Arabidopsis thaliana: one gene and its partners. The protein of the gene in region 2 interacts with the protein of the main gene of each other region in a pairwise test. Each region holds a gene or a part of one and is shown on either strand. Other genes may lie near its edges.

Region 1 (7,449 bases), on a different chromosome or scaffold from region 2:
AGAAAAATTAAATAATCATAAACAAAATTCGATTGTTATATAGTATAGTAAAAGACTAATGGTTAGATTCTTTAGAAAACGTAATTTATCGAAAGGAAGACATCTTCGAAGTGGTCGTGTAAGAGACTCGTTTTTTTTTTTTGCCTTTTTCTTAAAAGCTGATTTTTAGTTAATTTTAAAATTATTTTCCGTATTTCGGTACAAAAAGAAAATTTACGGTGTGGGTAGAAAATTAATATTAAAGTCATCATTTACAAATTTAAAAACTTTACTCGTACAAAACTAATCACTAGTGGGAATTGAACAGTACAAGATGTTTTTTCTCATTCTATAACAATCAATATATGAGTACGAGATATTAACAAGTTGTTTTATTTCTGTTAAGTGATATTGCGCGAAACTGAAAACGGAATGGTGAGTATTATTTTATAATAGTGCAACATAGGTATTAGTTAATAGTTATTAACTAGTGGCAAATGAAGAATTATTAAGTATAAGACAAAATTATTCAATGCAACTGCAATGAAACCCCGAGGGAAAGAAAGACCCTGTGTGGTTCTGCTATTTCCATGTGGCTGCTAGTGGTCCATCATACGTCAACTATACTTAGCAAGAAAAATTAAAAATCAAGGTTAAAATGGAAATTGAAGTAGTTTCGATTGTTTTATATTAATGTTTTGAGATAGTGCTTGAGTAGTGGAAACAATAAAACCATTAGGAATAACCGAACAGACCTCGAAAGAAGCCTCGGTAAGCCCAAATCTCGTATTGGTGTTTCAAGAAAATAACGTAAAATCACAAGTTTTTACAAACAAGCAAATCACAAAACTTTTATAAATTCAAAAGCTTACAATAACAAAAAGAAAAAAACAAGCAAATTACAAAGCTTACAAGAACTTTAGAAATTTGTTACAAAATTTGTCAAATATTATAAATTTAGTTACAAAATTTTAATCTACAACTTCAAAATCAAAAGAATCCTATTGTCGTTTAAACATCATCGATGTTCACCACTGTCAATTTCACATCCCGGTGTTCTCTAAAACATAAAGAGGAGACATAGGAAATAAAAGAGAAATTAAGTAGTTCAAAGAATAATCGGTTATTAGTTTCTTATAACTCCTAGGAAAAGCTATTCTAAATTTTTTTTAACAAAACATACTCCTTATAATTTTGTTTATTACTGACTTACACAATGACGAATCAATGAGAAACAAATATTTCGATTGTAAAATGTTTTGCTAAATTGTGGAGATATATATATTTGTTTTCTATGAACATATCATTTAATATATAATTTAGTTTATTTCACTAATAAAAAAAATTACAAACTGTAAAATAGTTAAAAACAACATTATATAAAATGAAATTTTACAAAACGAATTTACAATTAAATAGTAAGATGAACCCTCCAAATATCTAATCCTATAATAGAACATAATACATTAACATTATAATTAAATTTGGTTTTGTTAAAGGAGAATTGAATGTCTTACTGCTTACTAGTTTAGGGAAGGAGAAACCGAATAGGGAAATTAATGCAGCCGACATTTTTGACGTCGAATAGTTAATTGGTTGTATTGTCTCTTTAACCGTGCATTGTTACAATTATTAAAGTATTTTAACATTTTGGAATATGGAACACCTATCTTAACTAAACCAAAAAACATGGAACACTGATTTTTATTTTATTTCTTTCAGTCGACACCAATTGTTTGAATTTTGCGTTTGAATGTCTAGAGTTCTTAGCCTACAAGTTTCATGGATATCTAAATCAAACCTATAGTCCCTATGATTTCTTATTTTGTTAAACTTAAAGCAGATGTTTAATTTGGTCTTTTGCTCTTAACTAGAGTAAGTTTTGCCTGTTGGTTATCATTTCTAAGTTCAAACTGATACTCTTCTAATACACTGATCCGTGGGATAATGATAAATTTTGAAAAAAAGATAGTAACATACTGTATTTTCTTATAGAGAAGAGAAATTCAAAAATATTCTAATAGCACAACACTATTAAATGTATTTTTCTCTTACCTGTGGACTTGTAAAGATAATTTGTTAGGGGTGATACTTTAAGCTCGGACGAGCGATGGATCTTTGGTCCATCGAAGCCCATCTACATAACTTGAGTTCAGTCCATACCCATTCATCTATAGATTATCTGTAGTATTAGATTCTATACCACTCTTTTTTTTTTTTCTGTTGATTCTATACCACTCACATTCCACATAATCAGGCTATTTATTATTTTATTAAATACTGTATTGTCAAATAATTTGACTTCACCAAATAACATGTTTTCGTCAAACTCATGATATGATGGATGATACGAATAAGAAAACTGTTATAACTTATAAACAAAATAGGGTGTTTAGTGGTTTTGTACTAGTGAATCATTGCTGAGTTACTACTTGAGTTCAAACATGCATAATACATGTCGTTTAATGGATATAGGATTGTTTGTGATATTATTGCATACTTAAAATGTTTGTTGCATCACGTATGTAGTCCACAATCCACAGGCGCACCTTGCAAGGTACAAAACTCATTTTCTACAACATACGTGCTACAACAGAACGCATTGTCACCATGACGGGCATTGGCCACAACGATTAACTCAGAGTAAATTTGAAGACCAGTTGGATAAGTTTGAAGACCAGTTGGATAAGTTTGAAGACTAGTTTGATAAATTTGAACAACTCGTAGCAACTCATCACACAACGAAAACATCAAATCATAATTTCACCACAAGAAGAAACAACAGAAGATGATCAGATTCTAGTTTTCACAAAGATGATGTTTTTTTTTGTTTCGTTTAAAACAAGACCCACTTCATTTGGTCCTGTCTTCAGAAAGTTAAAAGGACACAAAGAGATGTCTATCGAATCATACATAGAAATTAAGGCAGATTTTTTTCTTCATAAAGAGATAATTTAGTAGGTGGGATTTTCCATTTAGCCCATGGCATACTTCTGAGTCCAGCTTCGTGCAGTGGACTCGTACTTGTTCTTGTCAGTCTTGTACATGTGAGCTATCTCGGGCACCAAAGGATCATCCGGGTTTGGATCGGTTAACAAAGAACAGATCGATAGCAGCACCTGTTAATTGCAAAGCAGTTGTTAGAACTGATCGATAACAAACAACAATTTTTCATCCTCAATGAGTCTAATAAGCTTAATGTTTCAGAGACAACCGAAATGAGTCAAAGTTTAATGAAGACAGCTCAATCTTATCACTTCAACTAGGGATTAAGGAGCAAAAGCATGTTTGATAAGAGTAGATTACTGCCTCTGAAGCAGTTTTAATAGAGAGTATTTGTTTTAAGGTGGGTTTCTATTGTTAACAAAAGAATAAGAGAAACCGAACCTTGGAAATGGTGAGCGCAGGACTCCACTGCTCCTTCAAGATGTCGAGGCAAATGCTACCGTTGCTGTTAATGTTGGGATGGAACACCTTGGTCCTAAAGGCCACCTAGATATCATCACACACACCATAATGAAGAACAATGAGATAATGAAGCAACCATAAAGAACATACGAGCTTTGGCAAAACATACTTGATAACAATTCTCAAAATATTGGAATCACCTTAGGAGGCTTGAATGGGTAATCCGGAGGGAAATGGATGGTTACAAGGAAAACACCTCCAGCATAAGGACTCTCTGAAGGACCCATTATCGTTGCCTGCCAGTGAAACATGTCTTCAGCAACAGGACCTGTACACAGAAAGATAAACTCAATCTCACACCACATAAGCACAAGGAAACAAAGAGACAGTTTTTTCTTCACAAGTATAACCAGACCCCAGAAACTAAGACAATGAAACGAGTTTTAAGCCTTTATAAGATCTTCACCAGAGAAATCAGAAACGAGATAAACCAAATTTAGTTCTAGCCAGATCTTAAAAAGTAAAACGAGTACTTAGCTCGAGATCGGTACCAAACAACACATAAACACACAAATCCAAACAAATCCAAGCATAAGCGAACAAAAAAACCGGATCTATCAACACCAGCTCAGGGAAACAAAACTTTTTAAGATGAAATCTCAAAATCCAAACACGAAACAAGTACCTGCGCTACATGATGTAGGTGGATCCTTCTGGAGATCCTTCAATTCCTTCAAGATCCGCTTCGACGCCATATCCAAAAACCTAAAAATCAAAAATCAAACAAAGATTCTAAACGAATCAGAGAAGCTATAAATCCGTGAGAAATATAAGTAATAGATCCAAAAGCTACAGAGACAATACCTTTGATTTTTCGCGTAATCGGATTGGCGAGGTTTTCGCCTTTTTCTTCTCGTATTAGAGAGAAGAAGAACCAAGACTTAGGGGAAAGGAAGAAAATAGAGATGGTGGTGGACGAAAGACGAAGAATACGAATTATTCTCTGTGCTCACGTCTACAATAAATACCGTGTGGATTATTTACTTTCTTTGACTAGTGGACTCTACTTTTAACCCTCTTATTATTCGGTGGACCTTGAAACGACGCGGCGCTTCTTAATTAAAACATCAAGTTGCATTGAAACGACATCGTCTTAAAAAGTCATCTAATCTAACGGTTGATATCCTATCCTTAAATCAAGTGGTATTGAAATCTAACGGCTGCGAGTTTATTATAAATTTCAAATCAAGTGGCATCGAAACGCGTTGCGATGAAGTCATATAATCTAACGGCTGAGATTTGTATCTTTTAATCGATCGAATCATTTGAAGCCACGTCTTCTCTCTCACTTTGGAGATTTTTCTAACGCAGAATCTGAGAATAAGCTAACCGATTCCGATTTCGAGTTCGTCGCCGGGAGGAATGAACCGGTTGAAGGAGCAAAAGGGGCCGAAGTTCGACGGCGAAGAATCACCTCCACCTGATTTTGATGAAGATCGAAGTGTGGGTGAGGTAGACGGAGGAGATCACACGCCATTCGCTGGAGGTAAAGTCAGAAGGAAAGCGTCTCGCTATAGAGAGCATCGTGGTGACTATCTTCACGTTTCTTCTCGTCCTGGATTGATGCGAATTCTGGAGAAACAAGGTTAGGTTTCTCCAAACTTTTGGTTTTTATTTGATGAATTTGAGATTGAGAGGCAATTTGTGAATCGAAGAACTTGGAGGAATAGTTGAATCAGCTGTAGAATTGTGGCATCGATTTATAGTTTCTTATGTGGTTGTTTGGATTGCTAATGATTGGATTCACCTTGAATTGCATGTGTTTGATGTTGAGAAGGTGATTCATTGTTGTTATAGGTGATACATCGATTCTTTTTGCTGATAAAGTTTTGAAGTTCACCGGCTCGGGGAAGATGAAACGGCGTATTTTTATCCTCACTGATTTTGCGATCTATCTAATTGATCCCGAGACTGAAGCTATGACCAGGAGAATTGCTTTGTCATCAGTAGAGAAGATGTGTTTAAGCAAATTGAGTGATAACTTCTTCGCTATCATTATTCCCACGGAATATGATCTCTTCATGGCCAGCACTAGGAAGACTGAGCTTGTTCAGGTCATGGTAGATGTCACTAAAAGTGCTTCTGACTATGAACTTGAAGTGCTTCTCTCTAACAGGTAACTATGACCGCAATTTTTGGTTTTTGATGTCTCCTCTTTGAATGCTAATACCATGCACATGAGAATTGTTTATTTTCATCTCATTTCCTGATATTGACACTACAGGTATTGTGTTACTGAGAACTGATGTGGGTCTTTTTAGTCTCTGAAACTTAGTGAGCTCTGTTTCTTAAGTGACTTGGCTATTAGTTAGTGGTGAGACCAGAGGATCCACTTGTACCTATTAATCATATCTATATTTATGGAAGAAGATAAAGAATTAACACTTTTAGGAGATAACTACTGAAATTAGTACGTTGAGATACAAATGGTTACAACTATATTTTAAATACTGTTAGATGACATATTCTAGTTTTGATTGAAACTGTTCTCAAATGGCAATCACGATAATAGTCCGTAGAAACATTTTGTATATCTCCCATATCGTAAAACTCAGCTATTGGTTTATATGTGCAGTTTGTGTTTTATACTGATAATGGTTTCTCCTTGTGTTCATTCCAGATTTGAGTACAATGCATCTGCCTCATTAGTAAAGGAAGTTTCTTTTGAGGAATCTGAAGGTTTGTATGAATAAGATTCTGGATATTGTGATTCAATCTAAGTTTGTGGTTAGTTTATTTGCTCATCAAGCTCTACCACTATTTTTCAGGGGGTATCAAGACCAAATTTGTGTGGAAGTGACTACATCTCAACTTTCCTCGCTGTTCATAAACTTTGGAGGGACCACTAGTAAGATCTGTTTCGACTTTCGAATGTCTTTTCTGTTGGTTACTAATAGCTGAAATCATGGTGGTATGTGTTGTTTATTATATTCTGTTTCGACTTTCGAAAATGTGAATGGATTCTTTCATGTAACACAAGACCAGTAGTGTCAATATAAGAAACAAATGGTTACAAGTATATTTCAAATATTGTTAGAAGACAGATTCTAGTTTTGTTGGAAACGGTTCTCAAATGGCAATCACGATAATCGTCTGTAGAAATATTGAAATCTTTTTCTGAATGGTCAATACATTAAGGAAAGATGGAATAGTCTTTCTTATAGTATATACGGAGATCCTGATAGACTTCCAATCGGAGTTGTTGTCGCACCTGTGGAAACCTCTGATCTGTATCCGCTGGCTAGTTTCTCTGGTCTTATCTCTTCCACCATTCTCACTACCTCAATCATGTTTGGTCTCTTCTCTGGTAATCTCGCTGTGCAAACCATACCAACCTGAAGCATCTCCACCATCTCTTCCTCTACTTGGGTACACCTCAAAAGCTCCTCATCAAACACCTCTCCTGTCCATTCTTCTCTAACCACCGAGTTCACCCACCTCACCAGGTTTGCCACTTCTGATTTTCCTGTTAGTACCTCGAATATCAATATCCCGAAACTATACACATCAGACGGTTGAGTCCCTTTTCTTGTGTCTGTTATCTCTGGTGCACGATAGCCAACTGCATGCCGCGGTAATGAATGCATCAGTGTAGCCATTCCTGTTCCAGATATGCAGCCATATCCTTTCCCGTTGAGGAAAATGTTTGAGGATTTTATGTTCCCGTGGACTAGTTTACCTCCGCTTTGTGAGTGGATATGAGCTACTCCTCTTGCTGTTCCATACACCATATTCAGTCTAGTTTCCCATTCTAGACGCTTCCGATCCCTGAGACCTTTCTGACCTGAGTATCGATACACATATAGACCAACTTAGCTATGTAAGATACTGTATAAATTCAAATGGTGGCATTATCAACATACCGTGTAGCAATGTTGAAAGACTTCCATGTTCGTAGTAATCATAAACCACGAGCTTCTCATCCTTAGAGTAGAAATATCCTCTTAAAGTGGCAACATTCTCATGCTTGATGCTGCCAATATTTTCGATTTGCTGCTCGAA
Region 2 (6,314 bases):
ATTAGTACAACGTTGCAGCTCTCAGAAAAATATTGAGATGGAAGAAAATGATAGATTAAATAGTGAGGTGTCAGAGTTGGCTGACAAAAATACAATTGCAGTCTCTTCAGGCGACTCGGTGAACAACGGGCAAAGGGAAGTTGCTTGTATTGATCCTACAGTGCGGATCATCAGTCCCAGGTCGATAATTCAGGTAACCCTCAGTTAGATTGCGTTTGCATTAGCATTTATTTGGAAGTTAAGAATATTCAAGTTCATGGTATCATAGAAGTTAAAACGAGTTCTGTTCCAACCCTAAACTTCTGCTGCATCTTCTTTATGAAATGTTATGCAAAACTAGTTTACGTGATTTAATCAAGCTGGTAATGACTAGGCTACTACGTATGTCGATGTTTTCTGTAAATAGTTCTCTAGTTAGATATTAAGGATGTTATTTCCTGTGCTCGACGGGTAAAAAAAGGTGCTATAAGGAATTTCTTATTTTAATGTATGTTCATCAGGGTACTATTCAATCGAGCAGTGTAAATGGAAACAGAGACCAATTACCTTCCGGAGAAGCAATGGCGCTGGACAAACGTGAAGAAAGCCTAGCTTTGATCAATGATAAATTCAGGGCAGAGACTTTAAGGTCTAGCATGGATCACCTAAACGATGAGGTAATACTGGATTAAGGGTTAAAATTACTAGTTAAATTAATTGGAAATGTTAATATCAGTGACTTAGTTTGGATTGGATGGCAATTCTGAATTACAATATCTACATGATGGTAATTATCTACAGAAAGATTTTGCCTAGCGTCATTGGGTCTTTTTTCTGTCTTCTTTACAGCTAGAACGGATGAAGAATGAGAATCTACTTGAACCTCAAGATGATAATGATTCAGACACCAGATTTCCGGGTTTGGAACAGGAGCTGATGCAGTTGCGTCAGGTGCTGATGTTTACCTTTTAGAGATTGTAATGAATTGAAGCATAAGTGTCTGTAGAAGTCTTATGATCTTGTTTTCGACAGGCAAAGGAAGAACTTCAGAGTATCTTCCCTCTATCTCAAGAGAATTTCAGTTGCGGAAACGCATTGGAAAGGGTTCTTGCACTGGAAATAGAACTCGCTGAAGCATTGCGTGGAAAGAAAAAATCAACCACCCATTTCCAGAGGTACACGATTCAAAAATTCTGCTATTAATTTTCGCCTTTGTAACTATACTAGACCACGTTGAACTTATTATTCCTTTTTGCCTGAAATTGCAGCTCTTTCTTGAAGCAACACACCGATGACGAAGCAATCTTCCAGAGTTTCAGAGACATAAACAATCTAATTGAAGAAATGTTGGATACCAAAGGCCGGTATTCGTCTATGGAGACAGAGCTTAGGGAAATGCATGACCGTTATTCTCAGCTAAGCCTCAAGTTTGCAGAGGTTGAAGGAGAGAGACAAAAGCTGATGATGACTCTGAAGAACGTTAGGGCATCAAAGAAGGCTATGCTCTTGAACCGTTCATCATCAGCAACTCTTGGTGAACATTAATGCACAGATGTTACTTACCATGTATATAAAGTTCCAAGAATGTTGAAGAAGTCCAAGTTCCAAGAGTGGTCTCGAGTTATAGATAGCTTAATATAATTGTTGTTTATTCGAGTCTCAAGATATGGGGTTTTTAAAGTGATGTGTTCTCTGTGTTGTATAGAAACCCCATATTCTTTAATTCAAAAAATGAGAAGTTTAGTTGAGAATAAGAACATACATAAGGACAATACCATTCTTGTTATTTACTGTTGTATTGAACATATTGTATATATTTATAAAAGAACCAACCTTCAAGAATCATAGTACATTTTCTCAAGCCATTTTGATTTTTAAAAAATAATAATTAAAAACCACACACATGGAACCAAATTCTGTAATGAAGATCTTTTGTTTTCATGCCTATGCCAATCATTCTGTACTGAAGGAACTTCTCAAAGCTTGTTTGATGCCATGGAAGTTGTTCCGTGGAGCATCATCTAGTGCCATGATCATGACGGATATAAATCTCTATGATCCAATTTACTTGCAGCTACAAAATGGTGCACACGCAGCGATTCTTCATCGGTGGATCATTCTGCAGTTTTTCTGTGGAACAGAAAATTTTCATATAATGAGATGATATGAACATGATCTCAAAGCCATAGTTAACGAGTACAGAATTCAAGGGAACATGTTGTTACACTGCGATAAACAGTATAACAAGGTAGAGAAAATTACCGCTCTTTTTGTCTAACGTAGGAAGGCGAAGAACAATATGCATAGTAATGATCATTCCAGGAAGTTCACAAACAGGAAGCCTGGATTCAGCAAGTGTCCTATTGTTCTCCAGTATTTTCCCGGCATTGATGAGCTTCATATCATTTACAGTTTTTGGAGTATTTTCTTTATCTGTGAAACAGAGAAACATTGAAAATGCAATTATAAAACAACCTTAAGTAGAGAAAGTAAATGCAACATAAGATTCAATAAGGCCAAGAAACACCAAACACCTAAACCAAAAAAATCCAGGCAAAAACAATACAATTTGAGACATCAATCTTATACTAGTTTTAGCCAAAATCAGTAACTAGAGTGATCTTAACACAACAACAACTAAACCTTTCACACTATAAAACTATAATTATCTATTAAAGCCTCATACTTTACAAAGTTCAACACCTAGACTAGCCCAAAAAAGTTCATCATACATTCAAATCATTGCAGAAAGAAGACAAATTTAATACAATCAAACCCAATGGAGAGTAAAAAGAAATACATGAAGCAATGAATCAAATGAGACTCAACCATCAAAACCGTGAAAAGCTGTAGAAAGAAGCAAAAGCATAACTATAAGTATAAAATACCTTTAGGCCATTGAGAAATGAGTTTCTCTTTAAGAGAAGAAACAGTCATAGATTGATTATACTTGCTTGGACCTATGTCTGTACCATCTGCTAGTCTAAACTTTAGTTCTATCCAATCTTCTTCACCTGCCATCTCTTTTCAATTTCCCCCAGAAAACAAAAAACCCCAACAACAAAAAAAATCTCTAAAAAGAGAAACTTCAAAATTCTTCTCTGGAGAAAATCATCGAACACTTTTGCAGGATTATTCACCAACCCAATTACAAAAACCCAAAAAAGAAAGAAAAAAACAACACAAACCCAAATCAATTCTCGTGGAAAGAAATTTAGGAAGAAGAAAAGAGAGACACTTTGGTTTTGGTTACAAAGGCTGTCTTTGAGCAGACATAACACAAATTGGGAAACTTTCAGATTCTTTTTTATTTTCGTAATCCTACCTGAATCCTCAATTTGACGTTTTTACCCCTACACAATATCATCAATAAAGCTGACTTTTGATTATTTAGTGACTTACTAATCAAAAATATAGACTTGTGAATTAACTTTAGATTGTTCGATAGTGATATTGTATTAGTCAAAAACTCTGGCCATGTTGTACAATATCAATATTGAACAAGTGGATTTCAATAATTTTGATTCCTATTAAGTGGGTATTGATACTTTCCCTTTTGATATTGAACTCTTTAACAACCATTAATTTCTTTTAATTAAAGAAATTTATTTCTTGTGTTTTGGATTCCTCTATTATTTTATAGGATTCTTGTTTTAATATGTTGGCATATATGCCAAAATTATATGGTAAGAGGGGCATTTCTGGAATTTAGGATTAGCATAAACACACAAAGAAACATATTGTAATTTCGAATGTGTTAGAAAATGGCAGCCACCAACTATATAAGCCTAACTACTTTAACTAATTAAAGATTGTGTTTAATTACACAAATCGATTATTTTCCGTGGGGTTTTAAGACATGAGGAACAATCTAGTGAGTAATCTTGATTGGTAATTAAATGAAATAATTGAAATTTTGGTCTAATTAATGCTTTAACATTTGGATTCGATTTGGTTCGAAAGAAAAAATGTTACCGAGGTATAACTAAAATTCCTTCACTTTCAAGTAATGAATCTAATTGTATACACCAACTTACAAGTAAAACATTCGAAGAAAAAAAAATAGATATAATCGGTTTTTGTTCAAGTGGAAATCATTTAAAATGAGAATTAGTTTGGTTCCAAATGGTTGAAATTCAAATGTTCAAGTTCAACCATAAAAAATTTCCTCCTAAACACCAACCAAATATTATTATGAAGAAAAATTCGTTCGTGCATGCCACAAAAAGAACCGATACACCCTTTGGATGGAATAATTAACAGGCTAGTGATACTTTGATATTCATGAAAAGAAGACTATTTCCTTCACATCAGATTAAAGTACTAAAACAAATGTCAAAAATTAATCATAGAATAGATTCGTTGAAATAAATCAAAAGCAACAACTTTCATATAAAAATCAAAGAAGATAAAAAGAAAAGAGGTGAAGTGTGAAATGAGAATCTAGAAACGGTTTGCTTTATGAGCATATGATTCGTTCTAAATTCTTAAGGCATCAATTATACATATCATTCTTGTCTTCTTACTTTCTTTAGGTCCACCATTGTAGTCGAAGCAAGAAACTAATCAAGAGAGCTACATAATTCAGTGCAAGGAAGAGAGATTCTAAACCGAACCGAATATTTCCGGTTTAGATTCAATTCAAGAAATGTGATCCCTGGTTGAGATGGATTAACCAAAAAAGGAGGAAGTTTCAATACCTTTTTGTGTTAGACTGTTTTAATTGCCTGAATCACATACACACCATAAGTTGCAAATTTTACCTGAAACTTTATTTCTTTTACAAGTTTCTCTATTACCAACTACAGAAATATGTATGCAGAAGCATACTGATGTTACATATTCAGAACTTCTGCAATTGTACTGCTAGGTAATGTACTGCTATAGTATATTTGCGCATGTCAAAAATTTCGATACAACAGTCGCATTATTATATATTTGTCACACAACATTTTATTACTCAAGCTTACTTTGGCAGCCAAATGCCAGAAGAATATATCATCGAAGAATTAGACGATAAAATCTTTGGGAGAACATCTCATAAGCTTCATGTTTTTGCTTCTGGCTGTACACAGAGATTCTTAATGGCCCACGAGAAATGGGCAAAGCTTCTGATGACTTTATATATCTATAACTTGGCAGCTAACAAGTTCAGCAGCACCAAAGTCCTTGGTTGCAATGAGTTTCCATGTAACAGTGTCTGACTTGTTAGGTGCATTGGTCTTTAAGTGTGGGATTGAAACAGAACTGGAGCTAGATGATGATGAGGAGACTGGGATGTTGGGGACATCAGCTCGTAAGACTGTAACGTTATGATTAGGGTCTCTAGTAATGAAATGAAGCTTGCCATGAAACCCAGCAAGCAAATAAGGAGATTCTGAATCTGTTAAGTCATACACAGGGACTTCCCCAATAACAACCTTCCAAGTATCTTCCTTTTGATCATACACTTTAATCTTTCCGTTCTCCATCGAAGAAGAAGGATCAAAAGCGTATAACTCACCATCCACCACAACACTCAGTTTTGTACCTGCTTGCCTCGCAGGCCAACCTTCACCCATACCAGACGGCATTTCAACCCAGAGATTTGTCTCGGGATCATAAACCTCTCCTCCAACATCAACAAAGAAAGGCCAAGAGTATAAACTCTGAGGAACACATAACCTACCGTTGTAGCAAGTCATTCCTGTGGCAATAGGCTTTAGTAAGTCAGCCAAAAACGCATTTGGCAACACTTGCGCCTTTGAGAAAGGCATGCTCGGAACCTCTGACCAAGCATCCGTGCTTGGATCATAAACCTCAGCTGACTGAAGAGGAGATAAACCTCCCCGTCCCCGATCAACCCCTCCAACAACATATAGTTTCTTATTCAATACACCTGTTTTGGAATAAGCCCGACTCGCCAACATAGAACTAACTTCACTCCAAGAGTTCAAAATCGGATCAAACCGCCAAACACAGCTCACTGTTTTAGACCTAGAAAGTCCACCAATAACATAAAGACCCCCATCAACAGCACCAATAGCGCACCCACAAAACGGCATTTGCTCAGAGGAGTCCCTCCTACCTAGAAAGCTCCTCACAATCGCACCAACATTAAAGCTCGGTGTAATCATATTCCACAAACCAGATAAACTCTTTCTAGACTCTTCTTCATAAACAACAACCGGCATTGGAGGCAATCTCTGCCATTTAGTAGACACAGGATCTAAAGCATACCACAAAAGCTTATCCTCATGACCTTTAGTCAACACATAGAGCCACTCCTCAGTCCTCCCAAGTTCTTTCCTCAAACTATACACCTCAGAAGTCGAAACAGCCGATCTCCACCTCCG
Region 3 (7,006 bases), about 16 Mb from region 2:
ATGCCAAGCCTCTGAATTTTACCGCGCTTACGTTACAGGCTTTAGGAATAGAGTTAAGAGAAATTAGCCGTTTGGTATGAATTTTCTTGAAGCAAGAATTAAATACACCCAACGATCAAAACTCAGAGAAACGGTCTCAATGGTTTTAATGGCTCCAAGGTTTTTTTAGTTTTCTCAGCTTATATAAGAGAAGACTTTTTTGCCGGCTAAAACCTGCCGGCGTATCTTTCTAATCACTCTTTTATCTATTTTTTTAATCAGAAACAAATTCTTCTGCTAAAGAAAATTTCTCTGTTTTACAGTTAGAGACAAAAACTAGTTTCTTCACAATGCAAATCTTCTTGTTCTTCTTCTCTTTGATTCTCTGTTTTGTTCTGATTTCCTCTCAGACTCTTGAAGACGACAAGAAAGCTTTGCTTCATTTCTTGTCTAGTTTCAATTCTTCTCGTCTCCATTGGAACCAGAGCTCAGACGTTTGTCATAGCTGGACCGGTGTTACCTGCAACGAAAACGGAGATCGAATTGTATCCGTTAGATTGCCTGCGGTTGGATTCAACGGTTTGATTCCTCCTTTCACCATCAGTCGTCTCTCTTCTCTCAAGTTTCTAAGCCTTAGAAAGAACCATTTCACCGGAGACTTCCCTTCTGATTTCACAAATCTCAAGAGCTTGACTCATCTCTACCTACAACATAACCACCTCTCAGGTCCACTACTAGCTATCTTCTCGGAGTTGAAGAATCTTAAGGTTCTTGATCTGTCTAACAATGGATTCAACGGAAGCATCCCAACCTCTCTTTCAGGATTGACTAGCCTTCAAGTCTTGAATCTTGCAAACAATTCATTCTCAGGGGAAATTCCAAATCTTCATCTTCCAAAACTGAGTCAGATCAACTTGTCCAACAACAAGCTCATCGGTACAATACCAAAGTCTCTTCAAAGATTCCAAAGTTCAGCTTTTTCTGGCAACAACCTTACCGAGAGGAAGAAACAACGCAAGACTCCTTTCGGGTTAAGCCAACTTGCTTTCTTGCTGATTCTGTCTGCAGCTTGCGTTTTGTGTGTTTCCGGATTATCATTCATAATGATCACTTGTTTCGGGAAGACTAGAATCTCCGGGAAGTTGCGAAAGAGAGACTCGTCTTCTCCTCCAGGAAACTGGACATCTAGAGATGATAACACTGAAGAAGGCGGGAAGATCATCTTCTTTGGTGGAAGAAACCACTTATTTGATTTAGATGATTTGCTAAGCTCATCTGCAGAAGTTTTGGGGAAGGGTGCTTTTGGTACAACCTATAAGGTAACAATGGAGGACATGAGCACGGTCGTTGTAAAACGATTGAAGGAAGTTGTCGTTGGAAGACGAGAGTTTGAGCAACAAATGGAGATCATTGGTATGATCAGACATGAAAATGTAGCTGAGCTAAAGGCTTACTACTACTCCAAAGACGATAAGCTCGCGGTTTATAGCTATTACAATCATGGAAGCCTCTTCGAAATACTGCACGGTTAGTTATTTTCATTGCTCTCATTCTGATGATAAATCGAAACTACAAGGTTCCATTTTCTTTGCAGGAAACAGAGGAAGGTATCATCGAGTACCGTTAGATTGGGATGCTAGACTGCGAATAGCAACCGGTGCAGCGAGAGGGCTAGCTAAAATCCACGAAGGGAAGTTCATACATGGAAACATCAAATCCTCAAACATCTTCTTAGACTCACAATGCTATGGCTGCATAGGCGATGTTGGCTTGACGACAATCATGAGATCACTTCCTCAAACCACTTGCCTTACTTCTGGCTACCATGCACCTGAAATAACAGACACAAGAAGAAGCACACAGTTTTCGGATGTATACAGCTTCGGTGTGGTATTACTGGAGCTCTTGACAGGGAAATCACCAGTGAGTCAAGCAGAATTAGTACCAACAGGAGGTGAGAACATGGACTTAGCTAGCTGGATAAGATCTGTGGTGGCTAAAGAGTGGACTGGAGAAGTGTTTGATATGGAGATATTGAGTCAATCAGGTGGTTTCGAGGAGGAGATGGTTGAGATGTTGCAAATAGGATTGGCTTGTGTTGCTCTGAAGCAACAAGAAAGACCTCATATAGCTCAAGTTTTGAAATTGATTGAAGATATTCGATCAGTTGATGCAGAGTGAGACAACACAAACTAGTAGTAGTAACCATTAAAGCAAATTCTTTGTTTCTTCATAGATCATTTGATTTTATTGAATTTGAATCATGCAAAAAAGAATGAGACTTTGAATTATAGAATCAGAAACAAATATAAATCCATTTCATAAAACGAAGAAAACAGAACAAATTTGGGAAAAAAAGTAAAAGCATCTAAGAAGAACATTACGAAGAAGATCCAATTTGTGGATTAAACGGGAGAGAGGAGGTGAAAAAGATGAGGTTTAGGATCTGAGTTCATGCCGATGATGATGATCAGAGGGATGAAACCATAGTGAGTCGCGACTTTGGCTTTCTGTAATGACCAGTTGGTCCAATCCTTGAAGACCTTGTACTTTGATGATGCAGAGGAGGACGAAGATGATGATGATCCCTTTGATGGTTTTGCTTTGCCTTTGATCTTCAACGTACTTTTAGCCGCCATTGATTCTGATCTCAGAACTCTCTCTCTCTCTCTCTGCTTATCTCTGTGTCAGAGTCGATTTAGCTGGAAGACAAAAACCCTAAAGGGTTTAAGCACCTTTTTAAAGCCTCTATGAAACACTCTGTCTAACTCAGAGGGTCCTTTATTTTTTATTAAAAGTATGTTTATCCAATAATGATTCTCTGGCTCGCTGGAAAATAGCTGTCATTATTTATATTTGAAGCATACATAAATAAAATTTCTCTCTCTTTGTTTATTCGTTAGGTCTCAAAGGCTCTCTCTGTCTCTTTCTCAAAAATCATCTGCAGGAAGTGAATCGTCAAAACCGAGTTTGGAGGATCTGTCTTGAGGTAAAAAAGCTCAATCCTTTATCGGAAATTTTCAACCTTTGCTTTTCCTTTGTTTGTTGCGTTGCTGAATCTATCTAGGGTTTGGTTTTTTGGATCTAGGAGTTTTTTTTTGGTTGAGAAATGGCTTCGAAAAGGATCTTGAAAGAGCTCAAGGATCTCCAGAAGGATCCTCCAACTTCCTGCAGTGCTGGTTAGTCTTTACCTCTCCTCTCGTAAATCGTGTCTGATCTATTTTTGAGCTTTGTTGTTAGATCTTATAATCTTATCTTTAAGCAAACAAAAAAATGAAATCTTTTTTAGTCTTCGTAATTTTATAACGAAGTTATCTAGAGATCTTGAGGTGGTAATTGCCGCTAAGTTATGATCTTAGTTTAGAAGATACCAATTGAAAGTTGAGATTTTTCTTAGAACAGAACAAATTTATGGCTGTACTGATCCTTGATTGAAAATTACAGCTTTCTAATAATCATAGTCTAGAAGATAGCTGTTAAAAATTGGGATCCATTTACCCATCCTGGATACTATTGATCATAATTAATAAGATAACAGTTGGAAGTTGAGATTTTTCTTAGAACAAAGTTGAGATTGGTCGTTGCAGTTATCTTATGATCATAGTCTAGGAAATAGCTATTGAAAGTTGTGAATTTTCTTAGAATTAAGCTTTTGGTGTTGTATGCTGCCTTGTTTATCCAAGTATCCATAACGGATCTTACAGACTTGATACCTCGCACTGATAGTCTTTCTTAGTTATCTATTGCATTCAGGTTTATACATGTTTGTTTTGTTTATTAAAATATATGATAAGTGGATAATGCGTCGAAATTGTTGGTCTTAATAGAGTTAGAGGATTGTTGTCGGAGATTCTCAAACTGTTCATGCATTCTTCTGCTAGAGAAGTCTCAGGACATTGCTATGGCACATGTTTTGTTGTGTGTATTTCAGTAAATGCCATAGATCATCATGTTTAAAAGACTAATCTTTCTATTTTTTCCTTCTATGAACAATTGTGAAATCTTCAAGGCCCAGTTGCTGAAGACATGTTTCATTGGCAAGCTACAATAATGGGTCCATCTGATAGTCCTTATTCAGGCGGTGTCTTTCTCGTAACCATTCACTTCCCTCCGGATTATCCTTTCAAACCACCAAAGGTAAATTATTCATTGTTACCAAACTGAAATCATGAACTGGAATTCAAAATGCTCTTTTTCTTGCAGGTTGCATTCAGGACAAAAGTGTTCCACCCTAATGTCAACAGCAATGGAAGCATTTGCCTTGACATTTTGAAAGAACAATGGAGTCCTGCACTCACCATATCGAAGGTGAAAAAGCACTCTTTAACCAATAGCAGTGGATGATATATAATGAATCTCCTCTTATTTTAATCAAATCTCTTGTGAATTTATAGGTTTTGCTTTCGATATGTTCATTGTTAACGGACCCAAACCCAGATGATCCATTGGTTCCAGAGATTGCTCACATGTACAAAACCGATAGAGCAAAGTATGAGTCTACTGCGAGAAGCTGGACTCAGAAATATGCAATGGGATGAAAGTTTGTGTCCTTTGATCCCTCACAGACTCGGTTTTAATAGAGAGAGAGAGAGAAAGAGAGAGGACTTCTTCACATAGGGATCTTCCATGAAATAAGTTAGATTCCTATGTTTTATCATCTCTTTGTTTGAAACCTCTTTAATCTCAAACAAAAACATTACTTCACCTCTTTATTATCCATATGTTCCCTATCTTTGTTTCTATGCTTTTTCCAAAAAATTATAAGAAAAATTATTTATGTAAAGCTGGAAACTTTGAGCTTTTACCTAACAAAGTATGACGATGATTAAATGGGAACATTTGACATTTGCTACCAAATTTTCAAAATTCCGTGTTTGAGAAAATATTGAAATAAAACCATTTTTGCAGAAAAATAAAATAAAAATTGCATGATTTTGAAGATGTTGATTAACATATTAATTCGAAATTTACCCTTGTATGAAATGCAAAGTGATAAATTTACCCTACAGAAAATTTTCTCCACCTTTATCATTTCCCTTGCTTGTAAGGGATCAATGATTCCATATGTGCATTAATTTAAAAATACCTCAAATCAAAGAATAAAGGTACACTTTATCTACCATTGAATTAAGTTACCTCATTATGAAATGGAAAGCGAAATCAAAAGGCATATTATTACGAAACAATAAACTGTAGATTTATTGGTTAGCTAGATCATCCAACTTTTCATTCAATCTGAATTTTCATTTAATTTATGATGATTTGAATGTAAAATCTGTAAATCATGGTGTATTATTATTAACCAATGAAATATTCTAAATACTGAAAATAATTCATGTAGTGATTTAGCCAATCATTTAGGCTATATTTAGTTATTTACATAGCAACTAATTACGTTCATGTTGATTAACAAGGAAAAACGCGTTCATTACGCAATACCATGCAATTGGAATCCTTCATTATCCAAGAAATACCTAAACAAATTCTCATGTTTTGCACAGAAAACAAAAGGAATCCAAAATATTTGCTATAGGTATATCTAAAAGAAACAACTATATATACATGCATGAAGACCGTCGGATTGTTGCTTATTACATTCGTCATTCTCTTGGCATCATTACCGCTTCCAACAAAAGCTATCGGTGCAGGCGGAAGTAGATCCAAGAGGGACAGAGAATCATGTGAAGAAAGTAGGATTCAGACTTGCTTGGACGTTGTTAATAGTGGATTAAAGATATCGACCGAATGTTGTAAATTTTTGAAAGAGCAACAACCATGTCTTTGTGATGTAACTAAAACCAGTAAGATCAAGACCAATGTCCTCAGCTCTCGTCTCAAGTCTTGTGGTATTCATAACCTAAAATGTGGAAATAACAACAATGCGATGCGAACAAGCAACCCCCCAGTACTTCGAGACACCACACCAAAGATACGTTGAGTCTTTGACTCTTTTTTTATATTAACCCTATTATAGATAGTTTACAATTTAGGGAAATTTTCTCCACCTTTCCCATATTCCTTGCTTGTAAGAATCAATGATTTCATATTAAATCATGAACTCTTATAGATACAAAAGTTTGGATTGTCCATGCTAACATTCATAAACGTAATAATATGATAAAAATGTGGGATAAAAAGAACAATGTTTTTACTTTTTACCAAAAAAAAAAAAAAAGAACAATGTTGACTCTCTTAATTTTCATCCCCAGAGTGACTTGTCTCGTTGATAACCGTTGGATCTCCCGTTAGATCATCTCTCTCGTAGTCAAAAGTCAGGCAATTTTATTAGTGGGCTTTCTATTTTCGACCCAACACTTTGATGTTTCCGAACTCTTTATTTCTTATTCTGCAAAGCTGTGCGAGAGTGAGAGTGTAGTTGTCTTCCTCAGTCGTGACGACATCGCCGGGAAATTCCTTAATGCAACTCAAATTACTTCCATTTCTGAAAATCCAAACTTCCTAATACTCCTTTACCTTCTCAGGTATGTAAACATCTATAACTTAGACGACTATACTGTTGTGTTTTGTTTTCTAGGGTTTTTTAAAACAATTTTTTGCTGGATTTATCAGCTCCGGTGCCTTGTTGTTGTTGTTTTAGAGATCAAAATTGATTTTTCATCTTTCGGGGTTCTTTATAATTTTTAGGGTTTGCATGTTAGGGTTTTATCCCCTGAATTTTTTATTTTGCTTTGTATTTAGTTTTTTGTTTGTTTGTAGAATTTGATGTACCATTCCATACATTTTAGGGACTTAGGCCTTTCATGTTGTTGTTTTAGTGATAGGAGGTGGCTGCTGTTTCTTCTTGGGTTGTGCATAACAAGGATTTAGCAATAAAGTTTACATTTTTACTTTGGATTCCTTGCAGGTTTGGTGTGCTCATGGCTGAAATGGAGGTTCCGGTGTTGTGTTACTGGAACGGTCGCATTGAGTATGGTAGCAATGGGGTATATGACAGATCAACTCCTAGAATGATCAAAGTTAAGAGAAAGACTGAGTTAAGCATATTGTTGGATCAGCTGTATCTTCT

What was found. The genes of interacting proteins can lie anywhere in the genome.
Region 1: the proteins of MUB6 (region 2) and UBC10 interact in a two-hybrid assay, tested with the Arabidopsis thaliana proteins (one study listed by BioGRID).
Region 3: the proteins of MUB6 (region 2) and UBC28 interact in a two-hybrid assay, tested with the Arabidopsis thaliana proteins (one study listed by BioGRID).

Annotation. Positions count from the first base shown.
Region 1 is NC_003076.8:21,629,848-21,637,296, forward strand, and holds UBC10 (ubiquitin-conjugating enzyme 10), read right to left. Parts: upstream 4,401-7,449; 5' UTR 4,252-4,400; intron 4,180-4,251; exon of another isoform or gene 4,153-4,179; 5' UTR 4,143-4,152; coding exon 4,073-4,142; intron 3,716-4,072; coding exon 3,588-3,715; intron 3,472-3,587; coding exon 3,367-3,471; coding exon of another isoform or gene 3,340-3,366; exon of another isoform or gene 3,099-3,339; coding exon 2,955-3,098; 3' UTR 2,720-2,954; exon of another isoform or gene 2,601-2,719; intron 2,200-2,600; 3' UTR 2,174-2,199; downstream 1-2,173. Other genes in the region: AT5G53310 (myosin heavy chain-like protein), read left to right, coding at 4,810-5,032, 5,245-5,563, 6,068-6,126, 6,216-6,247; AT5G53320 (Leucine-rich repeat protein kinase family protein), read right to left, coding at 6,606-7,231, 7,311-7,449. UniProt on the Arabidopsis thaliana protein: Accepts the ubiquitin from the E1 complex and catalyzes its covalent attachment to other proteins. Mediates the selective degradation of short-lived and abnormal proteins.
Region 2 is NC_003070.9:7,768,583-7,774,896, reverse strand, and holds MUB6 (membrane-anchored ubiquitin-fold protein 6 precursor), read right to left. Parts: upstream 3,239-6,314; 5' UTR 3,001-3,238; coding exon 2,868-3,000; intron 2,765-2,867; exon of another isoform or gene 2,413-2,764; coding exon 2,242-2,412; intron 2,110-2,241; coding exon 2,054-2,109; 3' UTR 1,743-2,053; downstream 1-1,742. Other genes in the region: AT1G22060 (sporulation-specific protein), read left to right, coding at 1-193, 501-656, 829-930, 1,012-1,154, 1,248-1,524; AT1G22040 (Galactose oxidase/kelch repeat superfamily protein), read right to left, coding at 5,100-6,314. UniProt on the Arabidopsis thaliana protein: May serve as docking site to facilitate the association of other proteins to the plasma membrane.
Region 3 is NC_003070.9:23,830,704-23,837,709, forward strand, and holds UBC28 (ubiquitin-conjugating enzyme 28), read left to right. Parts: upstream 1-2,847; 5' UTR 2,848-2,968; intron 2,969-3,046; 5' UTR 3,047-3,088; coding exon 3,089-3,158; intron 3,159-3,773; coding exon 3,774-3,899; intron 3,900-3,988; coding exon 3,989-4,116; intron 4,117-4,182; coding exon 4,183-4,287; intron 4,288-4,373; coding exon 4,374-4,517; 3' UTR 4,518-4,833; downstream 4,834-7,006. Other genes in the region: AT1G64210 (Leucine-rich repeat protein kinase family protein), read left to right, coding at 330-1,506, 1,574-2,160; TOM7-2 (translocase of outer membrane 7 kDa subunit 2), read right to left, coding at 2,385-2,618; AT1G64235 (Bifunctional inhibitor/lipid-transfer protein/seed storage 2S albumin superfamily protein), read left to right, coding at 5,546-5,917. UniProt on the Arabidopsis thaliana protein: Accepts the ubiquitin from the E1 complex and catalyzes its covalent attachment to other proteins.